Styela clava: one gene and its partner. The protein of the gene in region 1 interacts with the protein of each later gene in a biochemical or structural test. Links are inferred from orthologs where the notes say so. Each region holds a gene or a part of one and is shown on either strand. Other genes may lie near its edges. The genes, in order: general transcription factor IIE subunit 1-like and general transcription and DNA repair factor IIH helicase/translocase subunit XPB-like.

Evidence for each region.
Region 2: the proteins of general transcription factor IIE subunit 1-like (region 1) and general transcription and DNA repair factor IIH helicase/translocase subunit XPB-like form a complex in vitro, tested with the Homo sapiens proteins (2 studies listed by BioGRID). The link is inferred for Styela clava from reciprocal best matches to the Homo sapiens genes GTF2E1 and ERCC3.

What each region holds. Positions count from the first base shown.
Region 1 is NC_135250.1:24,566,578-24,576,413, reverse strand, and holds the start of general transcription factor IIE subunit 1-like, read left to right. Parts: upstream 1-5,324; 5' UTR 5,325-5,405; coding exon 5,406-5,476; intron 5,477-5,749; coding exon 5,750-5,840; intron 5,841-6,392; coding exon 6,393-6,488; intron 6,489-7,070; coding exon 7,071-7,145; intron 7,146-9,836.
Region 2 is NC_135263.1:11,706,561-11,717,198, forward strand, and holds general transcription and DNA repair factor IIH helicase/translocase subunit XPB-like, read left to right. Parts: upstream 1-6,070; 5' UTR 6,071-6,196; coding exon 6,197-8,569; 3' UTR 8,570-9,715; downstream 9,716-10,638. Other genes in the region: organic cation transporter protein-like, read right to left, coding at 485-627; adenylate cyclase type 9-like, read left to right, coding at 9,803-9,953, 10,478-10,586. UniProt on the Homo sapiens protein: ATP-dependent 3'-5' DNA helicase/translocase. Binds dsDNA rather than ssDNA, unzipping it in a translocase rather than classical helicase activity. Component of the general transcription and DNA repair factor IIH (TFIIH) core complex.

The DNA of each region.
Region 1 (9,836 bases):
AAATAAACTGTTTTCATATTGAGTTTTGAGCCACCGGCCCAGTAACCAAGTCTTTTTTGTTAACTATCCCGCACAGGATAGTATTTGACTATTTGTTCACCACTGTTATAAATTATAATGCATCACATACACTGGAATCATGCAGGTCCAGAACTCCAAAACAGGGGTCTCAAACTCGCGGGGGCTAATTGCGGCTCCACACATACAAATCTATGCCTTCGGAAAGATAAACTAGTTACCTAATCCCACATCCCAACTTAACTAGTCAGCTTGTGAAGGGCGGGTTTACCAAGTGATTTTACTGCAAAATTGGTTTTCCACTCATCCTAAGATAATGAATTCCCATTTTAAATTGTAAATATAAAAGTTTTTTTTTGTATAATATAGAAGCTCCTGTATATTGTTATTGAGCTTAAAAATCACAAACATTAGTCTATTTGCTTTTCTCCTCGAACCATTATTTGGGATGGAACTTCAAAAAATCTTTTTCGAGCACCACACCCATATTTCGAGCTTCAAATAAACCAAACCTTTGTTTGCTTTCTGGTGCTCATTTTAGTATATTTTCGATATTTTTAATGTTATCAGAATTTAGGTTGTAGGCATAGGAACGCAACTAGCAGACTTCATCCCTTGAAATCTTATAAATAAAGACAACAATCTTTATAACTATTTTCAAACAAGTTTTATATTTAGTCTAGTAATCTACACTACAGAGTACAGAATATGTGATTCTACGGATAAAAAAAAACATCTAAGTAACTTTATATCAGTAAAAGATGGGGCAAATTGATTTGTTTATTTGAAGTAATTCATCCAATAATGGTCATCATATTAAACTGTTGTGAGGACAACAGCTCCTATGAATTCCAGGAACATTTACACTAAAGTTTGAGAAATTTGGTAAACGATACCAATTTTCGATTCTTAAATCACAAAAATTTTACACTGATATCAGTCTCCAATCTTGGGAAAACTGTGTGTCTTCAAAAACTTTTGATATTTACAATGCTTCTATTATGATGATAAGTATGATGAGCTTTTTTATTTTTTGTCAGAAATTTTGACTTCATCTCTTACTTTATTAAAGAGTTTAAAATTAAAATACATTTTTGGCTATGACTCCAATATTAAGGAAAACATACCAATCTTCAATTTCACAATCTTGAATCAAATCATATAGATACATATGAATTTCTATTTCAATTAGAAGGCCTAATCTATTAGCCAAAGCATTTACAACAAATCAAAAAAATTAGTTGACTTTGGATAATGTTTCCCAAATATCAACATGATAGCTTTCAATTAATGTCTTACACCGGGGAGGTTTTGTACAGTGGTGTAGAATCGATGATGTCTTCTTCATTCTCTGTTTCATTATCTTGTACATTATGTTGCCTCTCTCGATTTGATGTTGATGGTCCAGCATTTTCTTCCAGATTTATTCTTGTTTCATTTGTTGTACTTTGTCCGAATCTTTCTTTCATACTGTGTGCCATTTTTTTTTTATCTTTTCTTTTATTCCAACTTCAAGAATAGTATGATCAATTATCTGCAGGCCAGGATGATTTCGATCCTTTTGCTGAGGAAGAGTGCATGCAAGTATATGCTCTAGGGCAGTTGTCCCTCGGAGACTGTTGACACATGCAGTAACGAGAATTTCAGGGTTTTCTCCAATATCAAATTTCCTGACACCACATCCTACTTCACGCAGTCCTTCCTCAATTTCATTTTCTTCAGTTACAATGTATGAATTTAGTAATGTTACAAATATATCCCAGAGCTTATTGTCATATGCAAATCTTGCAATTTTTTTTGCTGTTTCATCCCAGTGAGTAAATAAGAGAGTTGAAAATTCCCGTTCGAGCATTGTGCATGCTAATACACATAGGAGAGGTTCCAATGGCTTTAATACTTTTTTTATATCTACTTCATTCTGCATTTGTAGACTCGCTTTTTCATGTACTTCCTCATTGATACTAAACTTACTTAAAAGTTCCTTCAGTGCTTCTTGACTTTTACTTGGCACAGGACCCCCTTCTTCGCTTTTAAGAATTAGAACTTTCAGCGATTCATAATCCTCATTACGGGTCCACATTTTGTTGTAAACTCACTCTACATACTCTGCTGCTCTGATGGTTTTATTGTCTAAACCAATAATAGGAGGAAAGGAGTACTTGTACTTAGAGTCGCAATGAATATATTTCGTTCTTCCATCTTTCATGCTTTTCAGTATAATCTTAGCCGCTTTGAAATATTTTTGATCAGATAAAGCATAGTACAAAATTGATCTGCCATCGTTATCCAATAAATCCAGATTTAGATCTTTCACAAAATTTTCACATTCATCTGTCTCTTCGAATTGATTTATAATGACAACTGTTAAAAAGCCATCTCTGTTTATTTTTGCAATATTCATTAGTTTTTTAGTATGTGGATTAGTAATTTTCAATTTTATATTTTGAAGATATTTCTCTGCAGTGTTTGCTGTTATCTTTCTTTCGCTTAATTTTTGTTCTACTTTTTCCAATATTTTCCAGTCTTCAAGATCGTTCGTGATGGAAAACAATTCAATATTTTTCTTTTTGTCAAGTGTTATGGCATCTGTATAGTGTCTAGCCGATTCTTTCAATGATTCGTCAGAAAACCAGAGTTTAACGATCTCACAAAATTTTCCAGAGCGTCCAAGATTCCCAGAAGCGAATCATAAATGTTATAAAGGGGAATGCTTTCTTTGCATAAGTTCTTAAAATTTGTATATTTTTAAAGTAATTCTCGGGGCTGTCATGTTCAGCATTCCCAGCTGTAGTTTCTTCTATTGTGAGGGGTTCTAGAAAATAGCTGTTTTGGTCAAATCTAGGGACTGCCTTATGTAAATATCTCATTTTGCACATTCCCACTATAACAAACACGAGTTGTAGCATGGTAGATGCTTAAAACCCCACCCAATAAGGAATAAGTTGTTTTGCAGTATTGTGTGAGCAAAAATAAGGTACCGGACTCCCTTCACCAGTCATTTCCAAATAGTCTAATTGAAACGGATTGCAGTGAAATGTGTTGCCATCTTTAGCCAAGAAACATACTAGTAATCCTGATATACCTATTGATAAGACGATAGCGGCAAGAAGAATCCTATTTCTTTTGTAATAAACATGTTTGATAAAAATATCGCATTCATATAAGAGTAATAAGGGCCAAGCCTCTCTCACGATGCAGTCAGACATTCTGGATAAAGGTTCTTCAACAGAGGATTGCAGTTTGTCATTTTCATCGGATAATCCTTCAATTAGCTGTTCTGCTTTTTTGAAAGTGTTGAATGAATTTATAACTCCAGGTATCTGAAGCCAATAGGCAGAAGCAATCAAAACCAGCAAGATGGAAGACAGGCCGAGAAAACCAGAATAAGTCACAAACCATGGTATCTGGTTCATACAATAGTTGTTCATTATAGCAGCATCAAGAGAGGTGCCATTTTGTACCGTCGGAACACATTTTATTTTTATAGTTTGTGTCAAATAAAACATAAAAAGGGTGGTTGCCACACTGCCTGCATAAAAATATCCTCTGATTTTTTCCCACCATGGTTTCATGTTATGTTCAGTAAGCAGATCACCCAAAAGAAAGTCACTGATTCCAAGAATTGACATTTTCAAGATTCAGTAATTCTGCGTATAAATATATTAAAAAAAATTATATGCTGAATCATTTACGTTGACACAAAAGCTTATGACATTTGCCTGAGGTTTATAAAATTTTTCTTATAGGAACGGTCAAAACTATATGGAAGATATTATAAAAAATTGAATATATTATGATTTGAATCTACTCTAACTCTGATGTACATGTTAAGGAAATTAATTTCCATCACTTGGTATTTTGCCACTAAAATTTATTACTGAATCAATCCCGTATTTTTCAGGTAATTATTTAAATACAGTCGAAAAACATTGTAGGAGTTTAGATATTTTCATCTCATTCTCTTAATCCTTGTCATGGGTTTGGATCACAGTTAACTATATTTGTATAACTCTTATATTCATTGCTTTACATCATATTTTTCATCAGTCATACTCAAAATCTCTAAATTTCACCTAAATTTTTTTACAACCCTAATCCTGCTTTTTGAAATAATATCTTTTGTGCTATATTGTTTTTGTGACAAATCGGTAATTATCCTTTCCTCTATGTACAATTAAACATTTGGAATCATGGTATATTCTGCAAGTATAATTTATCTCCATTGCTTTACATACCGGTAGTATTTTTCATCAGTAGTACTCAAAATCTAGTAATTTCAACTAAAATATTTTGCAATCCTAGGACTGCTTTCTAAAATACTTTCATGCATGCTATACTTCAAATCAATTTTAGATTGAGAGTTCTATATTAGGTGCATAGAATATATGTGAGAAAACCTCCTCGATATCAGTCAAGCAATAAAAACGTTTTTGTTGATTGTTATGGACTTCTGATTTCTAAAGAGAACTCTGTTATCAAAATCCTGTGGCTCGGTACACACCTTATATCGCACCCACTTTTTGCATCCATGGTTGAATCGAATATGTGGAAAAAATAACTCAATATCAATCAAGCGAAGTAAAAATTTCTGTTGAATGTCATTGTTTTTTGATTTCTGAAGAGTACTCTATTATCATAATTCTCAACTCGGGTCACATAAAAATGACCTAAAACCTGCGTCGCACCCACTTTTTGCATCGTTGATTTAAGCGCTAAATTCCATTTCAAAATTCCTTCTTGTTTTTATATAAAAATGGTTACATTTCTAAAACACAGGTTATAATATTTACTGAAAACGATCACCACTATTATAATGTACAAATTTTTTGATATTGAATCAATTTTGATACCACTCACACTTTGTACATTTAATTGTGAACGCCCAATGTTATTTGTATCTTTTTGTTGTTTTCAAGAAGAGTAGCAAATATAAATTGGGACTGTTTTCTAATAATAACATTTTATCTTATTTTTAAACAAGGATGTGGACAATTGTTCACGATAGCTGGGAGTTGAAAAATTTTCTTCATTGTTCTGGCATAGTCCACCGGTTATGGTTTTACTTGGGTTGTGTTTTGAGATTATTTGTGTGTTTGCATTAAACAAGGCTTCAAATGAAGAGCCACTTTTTCACATGTTATCATTTTTTCCATCACAGTGCTCTGGTGGTAATTCTGACTGGTAACTGGTAATATTTAATGTGCAATGTTGTATGTTTTCTCTCCTTCAGAATGAATGTGAATTTCCATCTTATTTGATGTCACACAACCAGCAAAATTTTAATATTTTTACTTTTTGCTTTTCAGGGGGTGCTCACACTATGTAATATAGGATAATATTTATATTCCAAATTAGAATTCTTTTCTTGAAGTCTGATTTTAAGTAAAATGTCCAACACATTAGAAAATGAATCTGAAGTTTTACGAGAAGTACCCGATGCTTTGCAGAGACTTATCAGGTTAATATTACTTAACTTTTTCAATTATCAGTTGCGTTACACAAGAATATCTACTTTTTCTTACGCTATACCTTTGCGTAAGTGGATTCATAATGCAAAGCTGCTCTGGAGTCTTGCTGTACACTAACACGAATGTAAAAATGTTACATTTGTGTTAGTCTACATCTAGACTCATGGAATTCAAACTATTTTCAAGTGTGGAAAAGTGGGACACATTATTTATTTCTCAGAGCTATACCTTCAGCTTCATGATCTTATATATTTTGTCTTCAGATATGTTGCAAGAGGATTCTATGGACTTGAACACGGCCTAGTTATCGACGTACTTGTTCGAAACGCATGTGTGAAGGAAGATGACATCCAAGTTGGTCATGTTTTTTACGAGTTACATACTTTTGTTTTTAATTAATCCTATATAGAAAGAATATAGATGTAAGGACTAGAGACTTTCTAATTTCATGAGGTCCAGTTTTTTTTTTACTCTTACGGAAGAGGGGGGGAGTGGGTTCAAACTTGCCACTTTCGACCCGTCAGTGTATTTGTGAAGGTATTCTGAACAATAATGATGATTCATCGAAAGTTGAGCCATCAGCATTCATCAATAGAAAAAAAGATTGTTTTTATGGCAACTCAATTTGGCACTCTCATATATAGGCTAATCCTTTTGTCCTTATTGATAAATTTTTCGGATTTTCATTAGTTGCACACTTGATTGGTCAAAATATACTAAGTAGTGCATAAATCGTTATATATTCCATTAATGTGATATTTGTGTCGGTGAACAAAGTTTTTTTGGGCTTTTTACTGACAACTCTGAATTTTACAATTAGAAATTTTTTTTTTAGATTTTAGATTAAGCTATCGGGGTCATCAAAATTTGTATACTGTGTTTGAAAAGTGATTATTTTTCTTTCAGGAACTTTTGAAAATGGACAAGAAACAACTACGAGCAATGTTGGTTTTTCTGAAGAATGATAAAATTTTGAAAGCAAGACTTTGCGTTGAAACTCAAGTAAAGATGATAAATAGCAATCTTGTTATTATAGGTTAAAGTGTGATATAGTGAGATTATATACCTTTCCATAGTAGGTAACTTAAAAATCATTTGCTTAGAATATATCGCGTAGAGCAGTGCTTAACAACGTGCGCAATATTGCTTCTTATGGGGGAAAAACCTGAAGGGGTGATATCGCATACTTAAAATAGTCCGAATTAACACAAAATCAAAATGAAATTCACAAACCATAGGCAGGATATATTTTTGGCAGTCATTTGACAACCCGCCTACCCAATTTAATACACCCAATGTGAGGTGTTGGGTACGGGATTACACTGAGATCTTGAACCTGTGATGCAGGCATAGTTCATTCATTCCAATGCTTCAGCCTTGGTCAGGGGTCAATGAACGAATGCAAAAAATGGTTGCATTCCACTAAAAAGGATTAAATAATTACACTTATTTTATTATAATTTATGCAGCCGCATCCGGGGATGTTTGAGAACCCAACACTAGGCCATTGTGCAATACAAATCGAGTTAATCATCTAACTGTTGTGTAAACATAAAATTATTTTTGTAAATCTTTGTTTTACAGCCAGATGGGAATGTACTTCGTCACAATTATTATTATATAAATTATAGAAGCATTTGCAACATTATTAAATATAAGGTAAATATTCTCAATTTCATTTATTTTAGATTACTTTATGTGTTATTATACATGTTATTTCAGACTAGCAAAAGTATCATTATGTAATTTTTAGCAAGTGAATTGTTTCTTTCTGGTCTTTTCGTTGAAAATTTTTTTTAATATAATGTTAAATATGTGTTGGTACTAAGACTGAAGTACTAAGACTAAGGGATTTGACGAAAAGGGAGGCGATATTTACTTTTTTGAAAAAACGGGGAGCTAATATAGTGTTTCTGCAAGAGACTCACTGTTCTGGTAAAATTGAAAATGAATCATGGTCAAAAGAGTGGGGTAGTCAATGTTTATGGACTGAATATTCCAATACCTGCAATGGGGTAGGGATCTTGATCTTGATTTCTTCAAATTTAGATATATCTTTAGGCAATATAGATATAGATGAAAATGGCCAATATATTATATGTTCATTTGAATACGATAGTTTTTTAACAATAGTAGTGAACGTTTATGCTCCAAACCTTGATTCTCAAAGGGTCAAGTTGTTCAAACTTATATATGAAAAACTAGAAACCCTGAAAGCTTCAAATTATGCATACACATGCAATTTTATATGTGGTGGTGATTTTAATTGTATTTTGGAAGATAGGGATAGGGATTCCGTCAAATGTAGAAGAAATAATAATTCCAAAAGTGAAAAAATGCTCCAAAATATTGTTACTAAATTGGATTTGATTGATATTTGGCGTGAAAGGCACTCATCCCTTTTACAATTTTCATTTCATCGCCCAGCAACCAGAAACGGGCAAAAACAATCCAAAAGCAGAATAGACAGATGGTATCTTTCGCGATTATATACTGTCAATGTAGAAAAAGTTGAAATAATTGCAGCAGCATTATCGGATCACTTACCTGTCTTTATGTGGACAGATATAGGCGAGAATATCAAACGTGGGAAAGGTTATTGGAAATTTAATAGCAACTTATTAAATTATGATTTATTTGTCACAGGGGTAGAAGTTATATTAAAGAAATGGCTAAAGCAATTAAATGAAGGACATGAAATTGATGTTCTTAAATTTTGGGAAAATTGTAAAAGAAAAATTAAGGAGTGGTCTATATATAGCGGAGAAAAGTTAGCTAAGGAAAATAGGAATATAGAAAAACAATTAATAAAAACTTATGAAGAAGCATTGTTCAAATATGAGGAAGATCAATACGATATAGAAAAAAGTCACAAGTTAATGCAGGCAAAACAAAATTTGAAAGATTTTCAAACGAATCAAGTAAAAGGAAACGCTATAAGGGCACGCATACAGTGGGCAGAATCGGGAGAAATCTCATCAAAGTATTTCTTCAATTTGGAGAAGTATCGAGGGAAATTGAAATTGATACAAGAAATTAAAAACGAAAGTGGAGAGATTGTTAGAGGTTTGAGAAACATACAAAAAGTACAACAATCTTTTTACCAAAAATTATACTCAAAAACACCAAATCTAGATGAAAATTCCCAAGATGATTTGATTTTGAAATTAAATAAAGAAGTTGATAGATTAGATAAGGAGGACATAGAACAACCAATTAAATTTGAAGAATTAGAAAACGCATTCAAAGGTATGAAATTAAACAAAGCGCCGGGCTCAGATGGTATTACAAAAAATTTTTATGCGAAATTCTGGAAAATATTTGGAAGTATATTGAAAATTGTTTTTGACAAAATAGTAATATCAGGACATATGTCAGAGTCAATGAAAACAGCTATTATCACCCTATTGTATAAAAAAGGAAATAAAAATGACCTGAATAATTGGCGACCTATATCGCTGTTAAACTTTGATTATAAGCTTTTGGCAAAAATTTTAGCTAACAGAATTAGAAACTTACTTCCAAAAATAATTCACTGTGACCAGACTGGTTTTATTCAGGGTCGTTCTATACATGAAAACATCTCATGTATTAGAGACGACATATTTTATGCTAACAGATTTGGAAAAGAATTAGTAGTGTTTTCAATAGACTGGGCCAAAGCCTATGATACTGTTGATAGAGAATTCCTTTTTAAAGTTATGAAGAAGTTTAATTTAGGTCCAAATTTTATCAATTATATAAGAATTTTATATACTAATACAAAAGCAAAAATATTAACAAATGGATATGTAGGAGAGAGTTTTGAAATGACACGTGGATTAAAACAAGGCTGTCCTCTGTCCCCATTTTTATACACTATGGTTGCGGAGGTTTTTGCAACTAATATTAGAGTAAATAGCAACATAATAGGTTTTAAGAACATTTCAGGGAATGAAGAAAAATACAAAGGGTTTGCGGATGATGCAACATTAACAGTTAGAGATTTAAAATCAGTTGGAGAGGCATTGAAAATAGTCGAAAAATTTGAAATAGCTGTAGGTACCAGGATAAATAAGGAAAAATCTCAAATATTGTTATGTGGAGATTGTCTTAAGATAAATGAAACACAGTTTCAAGGTATAGCATTAAAAAGGGATAGTTTATGTGTCCTTGGTGTCTGGATCGGCAACAATGACACGACGCAACAAAACTGGAATCCAATTATAGAAAAAATCAAAAGAGTAGTGAATATATGGAAAGCTCGAACTATGAGCATGCAAGGGAGAATACTGATTACTAAAAGTCTATTATTATCTAAATTGTGGTATCTTGCAGCTGTAATAACAATTCCAAATGATATCATTAAAA
Region 2 (10,638 bases), on another chromosome or scaffold:
ATTAAACCCGAGTGTAACGACAGATATCAACTTACGCGGAAACGGAACCGCCACGAGGTGCGCAATTTTTCATATTGATAACGCCTTCGCATACGAAAAACGAATCCCATAGAGTCTAGAGTCGCATAGACTCATAGAGGACACAGATATTTTTGAATTACATAAAATAGCAAAAAATACAATCTTTAACCGCAAAACATTTAAAAGCAATTGGTCAGGTAGTTGAAGAGAAAAGCGATTTTTTTCATAGCAATAAGGAAAATACAAACAACAATAACAACAACATTTTAACAACACGACCCATAGGTCCACTTCTTGTCCAGAATATGTCAAAATAAAAGCAGAAGTGAAGCCTGACTAGTTTCCTACTATTCCATCGCCACACATCGATATATAAGCACTGTACTTAGATATCAGTACCACAGAGATAAAGACGATTGTAGTAGGTAGGTGCAATAAATACATCTGTATGTAGTCAAATTACCTGTGATCCGGCACGGCATTATAATACACTGATGTGAATGGTGTCCATGAACCAGCGAATATCGCAAAAATACACGAAACAAGTATGAATATTTTGTAGAAACTGAAAGTACCAAGCTGCTCTTCAAATTCGTCCAAATCCATTTGCTTATTGTCCTAACTTATTCCACAAATTCTTTATATCTTTCAACAGCGCACATTTTCATTTAACAATCAACGACTAAACAGCTGGAATAATCGGAATCGTGTGCATCCTCATATTCTACTATTTGTATGTTTTGTTTTGATCAGAGATAAATTACGCGCAGCTCAGAAATAGGCAACCAAATATATCAACTACGCAATATTGTTAGCAAAACGATTTATCACGGATTGAGCTCTGTATATTCTTAAAAATAGAATGATTGTTCGAGGCGACTGACTAGAAGCGCAGGCTGAAAAAACCATTGATGACAAATCAGAATATAAAGAATCAAAATTTCTGGAGAACAAAACTGGATTGACGAAGCATTCAATACCAAGATTTATTTCTGACTCAATTCACTAACTGAGCAACACGCTGTGCTGTAAAAAGTTATATTACACGATGTCTACGAAACCATCCTGTTACCGAGCGGAGTTCCATATAATTTCTCAACTACGATGAAATTTTCACGAGAATGACGAAGCATATTTTATATATTGAATAATGTTTACTAGATTCGTACGTGGTTTTAAAACATCCAGAACGGTTTTGTTCATATTCATAGTAAAACGATAACTGCATAGTAAAATTGACTTTACACGCACTGTAAAAATTTTAACGTTCTTTGCACGAACGCAGTTGCCTTTACTTTACAGCATTTAAATGCGATAATCTTTGATGTGGAAGTTTCCCGATTTGAAACTACGAATTCAAGAGTGTGTAGCACTGATATTGGGTCTTTGTGGTGCATTTTTATTTTGTAAAAAATTGTGAAATATAGAATAATAAAATGAACATTTCCATATCGTATAACCATCTGTAGTTGGCCTGAGTTTAGTCATGCAATGTCTATTTGAACCATTCATCAGGTAAAAATGCTCATTGGATTTCTTATTATTAAAGTTGATAATCATTGAGTATTAGTGCAATTTATACAACGTAACTTGAATAACTCTTCATAAAGCCCATGTAATTTTTCCCTTGTGTGTATAGCATTAAACACATATGACTCGTGGCTCGCCTTTCAACGGTTATATGTAATTGCAGCCACTGTGGGGAGGTGAACGGAGGGATAAAACCTAAGATCTTTAATACGTGACTTGAACATAGTGAAGTCCATGGTTCTGATTATTTGTTCGTCAATCGTCATATATATGCTTGTTCATATTTTCATAACAGTACTATACAATTTAAATGATTCTAATTTTATGACATATATATTCGGGATCTCAATTAGGACGAAGTGCCAATTCATTCCTGCAGTTATTTGATTGGGCTTTATTAGTTTATTTGAAGTTAAGTTGTGATCGTTTTTCAATAGATTAAGTCGTCACATTGATTCTCCTTTTCCTGGGACCAGTGTGAGAATATATACTAACTTCAACGGTGTATCTTAAAAGTGCTCGCCGCCATAGGGTGGTTCACGTACCTTGGTCGGTTACGGCTTCCTCTATCATCAAATCCACACATCTGAAATGAATAACTGGCTGACTAGTCCCATGGCCGACATGGGCCAGCAACCAGACAAGAAGCCGTAGTTTGCCATATATCGCTGACAAATGTCAACAGTAATATTAGGCCGAAAAGTACACTCTCAGCTTGAAGGCTTCTCAACTGTATCTCAAGTCAAATATTATCTATGTAATGTTCGTGGGGCTAGTAAACTTACCGACGCCTTTCTCCTCTCTACCAAAATATTATATCCGTGTGAATGCTGTAAACAGAAATGGATGGTTGATACTATTTTGTATATGTGTATGAATTCGTGATAGAAAGATATTTTGCAGTTGGAAACCACATATTGTCAGTTATCCAATAATTTTTTTGCAAAATCTTAAAATATTTTACAGATTAAGGCTCATTTTGAAATCTAAAACCCTTAAATAAGTATATTTTAGTTTATTTCACTCGCGTCTACAATATGGTCTACTTGGTTTCGGGCATTATATATACGTTTTGGGTTGGGGTTCAGCAACAAGGTCTTCCTTTCAGTCAATTTAAGTTCTGCGGAATAAAGTTTTAAGGTGCATGACATTTGCAGAGAAAAGTTTTAACTAATTTGCAGCTTTGTCACCAGTATGATCTCCTACGACCTACAGCTTTCAGATATGCTCGCACTATAAATTGCAAAGTTTATGCATCGGTATGAAAATGGCCTTATTCTCCCAGTCTTTATACATTATTTCACCCCATTACAAAAAGTGCATAATTACTGCACCAGATTTTAAATAAACAGGAATAATATTACTCCACAAGTGTCCACTGAGGTGGACAAAACATCTTTGAAGTATGAAACCAAAAAAAGTTCAGTGCATGTTTTCAATGAGGAACTGAAAAAGTCTTTCTTACTTAAATGCTCAAATTTGTCTTAATATCTTGATTAATAATTATCTCAATTAAAAATCCTAAGTTTAATATCTTTTAAACTTTGTTTAAAGTAAATGAGCCAAACACTGTATATAATATCATAAATTTGACTGTTTCACATTTAGACTGTGTATTGAAGATCATTGGCCTCTTTCAATTGCATTTTTTGTAAAATCATACTAAAATGTTTTCTCTTTTTTGACACAAACTACTACTATGTACTTTATTATAGTTCACCTTAAAAAACCATTGTTAATGATACTTGTACTTCCTATCTTTTATTTATTGTTTAATCTGTGATAATCCGACTTCTTCATTTTTCTCTGTGTATTTGAGCCCGTCTCGGCCCAACAAATATTTAATTACAAAAACTAATCTAAGCTTTTGATAATTTTTTCAATTTTATGGACCTGTTCGAATCTAAAACTAGGGTTGGGACCCCGGAAAATCCCGATATCCCGGGATCTGGAGTGTTTTTTTTTCAATCCCAATCCCGCAATTATTCTCTAAAAATTCCGGGGTTATAAGGCGTTATTATCCACATGTAGATATTCTCACAAATGGTAGGTTATACCATTTTATTTAATTCTTCTTTAAAAATAAAAGCCATCCACGTTTACAGTTTGAGTCAGTCAGACTAAGTGGAATTATTGTGCGAAATTTTCTCAAGTTTTACAAATGAATTATTATTTGACTAGTAGAATTGCAATTATCGCCGATTTATTTAATCATAATTTGAACTCAAAATAGCATTCAGGATTCACGCAATGACTTTGCAGGGTTTTTATTCACTATTTAATAGAAAAATAAAACAGCCACAATAGAAAAATAAAATCAAGAAGGTCAACTATCGCCTTCATGAATATCCGCATTTCGGCGTCAGAAATGATAATATTTTTAGCTTAAAATTGGGACAGTTAATTTACAAACGGTGACAAGAAAGATAAAAGCCGACCCAAAAGATAAAAATCGGAATTAAATCCCGAATTCGACAGTTCGTTAAAAGTATCCGACACGATGAAAAGATACTATTTTGCCCACCATTGAGATCTCTAATCACCCAGTAATCTGGCGAAACGCGTAGACCAAATACTGATGCAATGAAACTTAATAAAACTATTTTGCACTACTTCACGAAAGCGTGGTGGAATTGCCGATTATTTCATATCTCGAACACAAAATCTTTTTCGGATAGTTTCTGCGGTCTGAAAAGTCGAATAAGCGTTTCGACATAGTAAATGCTACGATCTTTATCATCAAATTATGCTCGGGCATTGCACGAAATTCATAACGTGAAAAGATACGTTCAGCGGTGAAAATTATAACAACTTTAAATTAAACCTATTTAGTGGTTTTAGCGATAATAATTAATTGTTGTAATGAAATACAGTTTGTTTGCCCATTTCATTCCTCTCGTAAGTGCCGACAATAATGCTATTGAAAGATTTTGGCAATGGGAGAAACATATTGAATTGTAACAAAAAAGAATTAAGTTGTGCAAAAGTGAAAATGCCTGTGATAATAATAATAATAACGGCTAACGGGGGACGCGGGAGGGCGTCAACTTTTACAATAATGTGAGGTGCTTCGAAGGCGCTCTCGTGTACATTAATGTAAGAAAACGGTTGTAATATCGGTAACTATTAACCATGTTTTCGCCTTCGGCTATCGCACTCTTTACAAGTAGAAAATGTTCGTGTTTTGTGATAGATGTGCCGCGAATATTTAAAATGCTAAATAGTGTGCCGCGACATAAAAAAAAGGGTGGGAACTACTGCCCTAGATGCTCTAATATTTCTGCGTCGGCATCACATTAAATAAATACGTGATTTTATTGTCATGCAAGTTGTTTCAATCTTTTACTTAATTTCGAAAAATTCGGGATTATACGGCTCAATCCCGGGATATCCCGATACTGAGATTTCAAAAACTGGCTCCGAAATCCCAACCCTACTTAAAACACGTGATCTATTAATATCATTACTTGCATTATTAACTGTGAAATTGCTGACTCGCACATCTAGGCTACATTTTATTTCTCCATATATTTTTTATTCGTATTTCATTGCTAATGCTATGTCTGGTTGATTTCATGTATATATACAGCAAGGGCCAGGAGCCTCGGTGACCTACCGTAACTGGTCTTGCATACTGCCCTCACAAATAATGATCAACCAATTGCTAAATTACATTTTGTGTTGCTTCAAATGTATTATAGTGTTGACATTGTTTGCGATAATAAATCTCTCTCTCGTTTTATGATCTTTGTAATTTTTTTTGGTATTAGCTGGTGAGCGGGCACATGCTATTTGTCATGTTTTAAACTTTTCTAAAGATTTTTTTTGTCCAGAATTCTCCATTTTTGATTTTGTGAGTATTATGGAGTTTTCAGAATGAATTATCTGACTATCTATAATTACATGGTTCGGCTTCCCCCTCCCCCGTGATAAATATGTAACGTTTCCTCGACCCCTGAAAGATTCTCCCTATACTTTATCATTGCAAAATTTTCAACGCTGATTTTGAGAGTGTTTTGAAGAGTTGGCGCTTACAAACTGGCTCGTATGTGCAAAGCTGTCATTTTTATTCAAAACAATAAACCACGTGCGCTTATAGGTAGTGATAGCTAATTTTATGCTAGTCTATCACAGCGTTTGCGCTATCAAATATTGATTATTGTAACTAAACTTAAGGTCCTCAGAAGACATAATGACAATTAAGTTATTTGATTTACAACTATATTTTGGAAACACAGCTAAAAACTGAAAAATAGCACGCAGAACTACCAAGAATGGGTAATGTTTGGAACCACGCTTGAATGTATATCTGAACGGAAGAATTGTATGGGCGGCGGCATAAATTCCATTTGTTACGTCGTTGGTAACTTATCGCTGATTTGTAATAGTTACGGAGATAAACAAGGAAATTTATGCTTTGGGAAGCATTCATCCAGTTGTTTTGAAATTATACTTCTTCCGCCAGTGGGCAATATAGAAACACAAATCGAAAGAAAAAAAATGAGCAGAATCGAGCATTTTCCAGTTCGCTAGTCTGTTGTTCCGCTGTGCAGTCTATGCTTATGTTTGTTGTGTTAGTCGAGCGTCAGGTTTAACGGGACTGTAGCTATTTTGATATTAAACGGATTTTTCATTCGCCTTAAACATGGGTAAAACGAAAAAAGCTAAGAAGAACAAGGTAGATAAGGTTAAAGAAGATCGTGATCCAGATTACTTCGATGAGGAATACGACGATTTTGACGACGGCGTGGGAAACGAGGATATTGCGGCTGTCCCTAATGCAGCCAAAAAGCACATTGATTCCGAGTCTTCCACCACAGTTGGCATTGAAGACAAATTTGGTGCTAAGGATTATAGAAGCCAAATGAGAATGAAAACTGACCATGCATCTCGACCTATTTATGTTGCCCCTGATGGACATATATTTTTGGAGTCATTTTCTCCAGTTTATAAACATGCTAGAGATTTTCTTATTGCAATTTCAGAGCCGATCAGCAGACCAAAATACATTCATGAGTTCCGTTTAACACCGTATTCTTTGTATGCAGCAGTAAGTGTTGGATTAGAGACTGACGATATCATTGAATACCTCAGCAGATTAAGTAAAACAACAATTCCAACGGGCATTGTTGATTTTATAAAACTTTGCACAGTCAGCTATGGCAAGGTTAAACTTGTGCTCAAACACAATCGGTACTTTGTTGAAAGTACGCATGCTGAAGTTATACAAAAATTACTAAAAGATTCGGTTATTGAAACTTGCCGAAAAAGGGATTCTGGCGATCCAGAAGTTTCTACTTTTGTTGGAAAACAGGGATTACAAGTTAATAAACCAGCGGTGAAAAATGGCGAATCTTCCAATAATAATAATAATGAAGTTTCAGATGCCGCTGAAGAAGGTGGTGTACCGAAAGACATTTATGATTTATATGATAAAATTGATGGAAATGACGATGATGAAACAGAAACATTGCAAGTTGTGTCATTTGAAATTAATCAAGATGATATTGAAACATTGCAAAAAAGATGCATTGAATTAGAATATCCCTTATTAGCGGAATACGATTTTCGAAACGACACTGTGAACCCAGATTTAAAAATGGATTTAAAACCAACAACAGTCCTGAGACCTTATCAAGAAAAAAGTCTCAGAAAAATGTTTGGCAATGGAAGAGCACGTGCGGGTGTAATTGTTCTTCCATGTGGTGCTGGAAAGACTTTAGTTGGTGTCACTGCAGCTTGTACTGTTCGAAAACGTTGCATGGTTCTGTGTACTTCTGGAGTTGCAGTTGAGCAATGGAGATCGCAATTTAAAATGTGGTCTACTGCCGATGATTCTATGATATGCAGATTTACGTCTGATGCAAAAGATAAACCCCATGGATGTGGTATTATTATTAGTACATATTCGATGATGGGACATAGTTTTAAACGATCGTGGGAGGCTGAACGAGTAATGGAATGGATAAGGAGTCAAGAATGGGGTTTGATGGTATTAGATGAAGTCCACACAATTCCTGCGAAACAGTTCCGAAGAGTTTTAACAGTTGTACAAGCACATTGCAAACTCGGACTCACTGCAACATTAGTAAGAGAAGATGACAAAATTTCAGATTTGAATTTCCTCATTGGACCAAAACTATACGAGGCAAATTGGATGGAGCTTCAAAGTGGGGGATATATTGCCAGAGTGCAATGTGCGGAAGTGTGGTGCCCCATGACTCCAGAATTTTATCGAGAATATTTGGGGTTACAATCAAGAAAGCGTATTTTGCTCTATGTTATGAATCCAAACAAGTTCAGAGCTTGTCAATATTTGGTTAAATTTCATGAGCGACGTAACGATAAAATTGTGGTATTTTCTGATAACGTATTTGCTTTAAAAGAATACGCTGTACGAATGGGAAAGCCATATATTTATGGACCAACGTCACAAGGTGAAAGAATACAGATATTACAAAACTTCATACACAATCCAAAAGTGAACACTATTTTTATTTCCAAAGTTGGTGATAACTCGATTGATCTTCCTGCTGCAAATGTATTGATACAAGTTTCATCACATGGTGGTTCTCGTAGGCAAGAAGCACAAAGATTGGGAAGAATCCTCCGAGCTAAAAAAGGCAGCTTGGCTGAAGAATACAATGCTTTTTTCTATTCACTCGTGTCACAAGATACAAAAGAAGTGGCTTATTCGACAAAAAGACAAAGTTTTTTAGTTAATCAAGGCTATGCATTTAAAGTTATCACTAAACTACAAGGCTTAGATGAAGATAAACAACTTGCATTTGGCACGAAAGAAGAACAGCACAATCTTCTTCAAAAAGTTTTAGCGGCCAGCGACCTTGATGCTGAGGAAGAGATGATGCCCGGTGAAGGTATGTCTTCATCACGACAAGGTGGAGTGAAACGTAAAACGACAATGTCATCGCTTTCTGGGGCAGATGATGCGGTGTTTCTGGAATATAAATCGAAAAGGGACAAGAAACATGACCTTTTTAAGAAATTCCGGGGTTGAATCATCTGGTGCGAAAATTAGTAATACCCGGATCCACGGACGAAAAGGGAGGATACAACGGTATAAGACTTTTCGACTGAAATGGATACTCAGCGACCAACTTCAAATTTTGATGATTTCTTCTATCTATACAAAAAAAACTTGGTTTAGCCATTGATAAAAATAATTGCTTTTTCTGCTCAGATTGTGTATTCCAGCTTATTTGCGAGTTTGGTGCTTTTTTACAATGTAATATTTGACAACGCATTTCATGCAACCTTTCCTGCATTTCATGTTACCATTATGTTCCACATATACATATAGTCCTATGGAATATTATCTCAAATATGTTGCAATTTATGTTCCAGTATAATACAGTGCATTCAGATATGTCAATTGTTTCATTTTTTTGTAAAAAACGTTATTTAAAAAAATGCATTATTGGGTACCTATTTACTGATACATAATATGACATTACTCTTACCAAGGCTATTAGTATAGTTATAGTACTGTGTTCTGGTTGACTAGGATTCTAAAATAAAATTCTTATTCGAAAATTAGTGATTGATGTTGGAATACTGCTCAATTCTCAATTTTCAATAATTGCAAATTTTATTATCAAGAAGTCATTAAAATTTTAGAAAATAATCATAGTTTGTTTGAATTTATGGAGTATCAAAAAAATATTGTCACCAATTTCTCATTGTATCTTGGATATTATATATATATCATAATTATGATTAATAATGCTGTAATGCTGATTATCCCAACATTAACCATTATTTAAATCAAACCCAATATTAAATCATTTAAAGAAGTGATTTCCTGTTAAGTTCAAACTTTTTCTAAGCTGTTGCAGTGAAGCACAACCAGAAAGTGAATTTTGATAGTAAATTTTTTATTCTCTTTGCTATGCGAATGTGCTTACATACACTGAATTTAGTTGCTAATCCTATTGTTTGCCAGTTCAGTTCTTATTCAATACCAGTGTTATTTTTCATGTACATTATAAAATCATCATAAAAAAACATATAAGTTCTCATTGAAGATAACTTCCTTATTCAAATAAAGATACAATCAAGGCTAATAATACTTTGATATTTCACACTGTTCCAGTCATTTGAGTGAAAAAAGTCCAAAATTGAAAAAAATATTCCATTTTCACAGGCTGTGATTTTGATTTTAAAATAATTAGAATCTGTATCAAATGGTGCAGTCATTCGTGGCTGCGTATTTGAGGTCGTCTCACTCAAGATGACAACAACGATGGTAGAATTTAATTTGAAATCAAATGAAAATAATGTAAGTCTTGTTTCGAATCAAGAGAAAAAAGAACATTCTGAGACAAACAAATCGGATCTATCTCCTTGCAGAATAACAATGCTGTCACGAAGAAAGAAAAGGGGCAAGTGTTAGTTATAACTTCGTTGTTTAATAAAAAAATCTATATTTTATCAAGATTTAAAATGAATATCTTGATATTATTTGAGAGATGTAAAAATTTCTGGCTTTATTCTGAAATTTGCCATTTTAATCCCAAAATTGTAATACATGTTACCTCATGGATTGAACTGTGACACATTTGTGATTTCGTTAATTCAATATCCAACTGAACTATGTCTACAATACATTTTGCCAACACTACTGGACAAGTGTAGTGAACTTATAAAAACACTTTCATATCAATTTCACACAGTAATATATCACAATTTTGTCAATAAAATAAAAATTTTAATTTTTTTCCAGCTATCGATCGTCATGGCGTATTTGCCTACTTTTATTGTTTACGCACGTTTTTCTAAGACAATATTTAGATTAATTCATTGCAGGAGGATTTATATGATATATTAAAACATGGAGAGCCCTTTAGCACTCGTTAGGTGATCATTTCCTATAACATTTATATCTAAGCATATATTTATTTTGCAGGGCGGATACCTCATCTGTTTGAACGTAGCTCCAAAAAATGGTGGAATCCGCAAATGGATTCAGAAATTCTTGAAAAACAATGTTTGGATTTCAGTCTCGAGCAAAGCATGTAAGAAAAACTTTTTATGGTTTACACAAAAGTTGGAGTCTTGCACCAATTG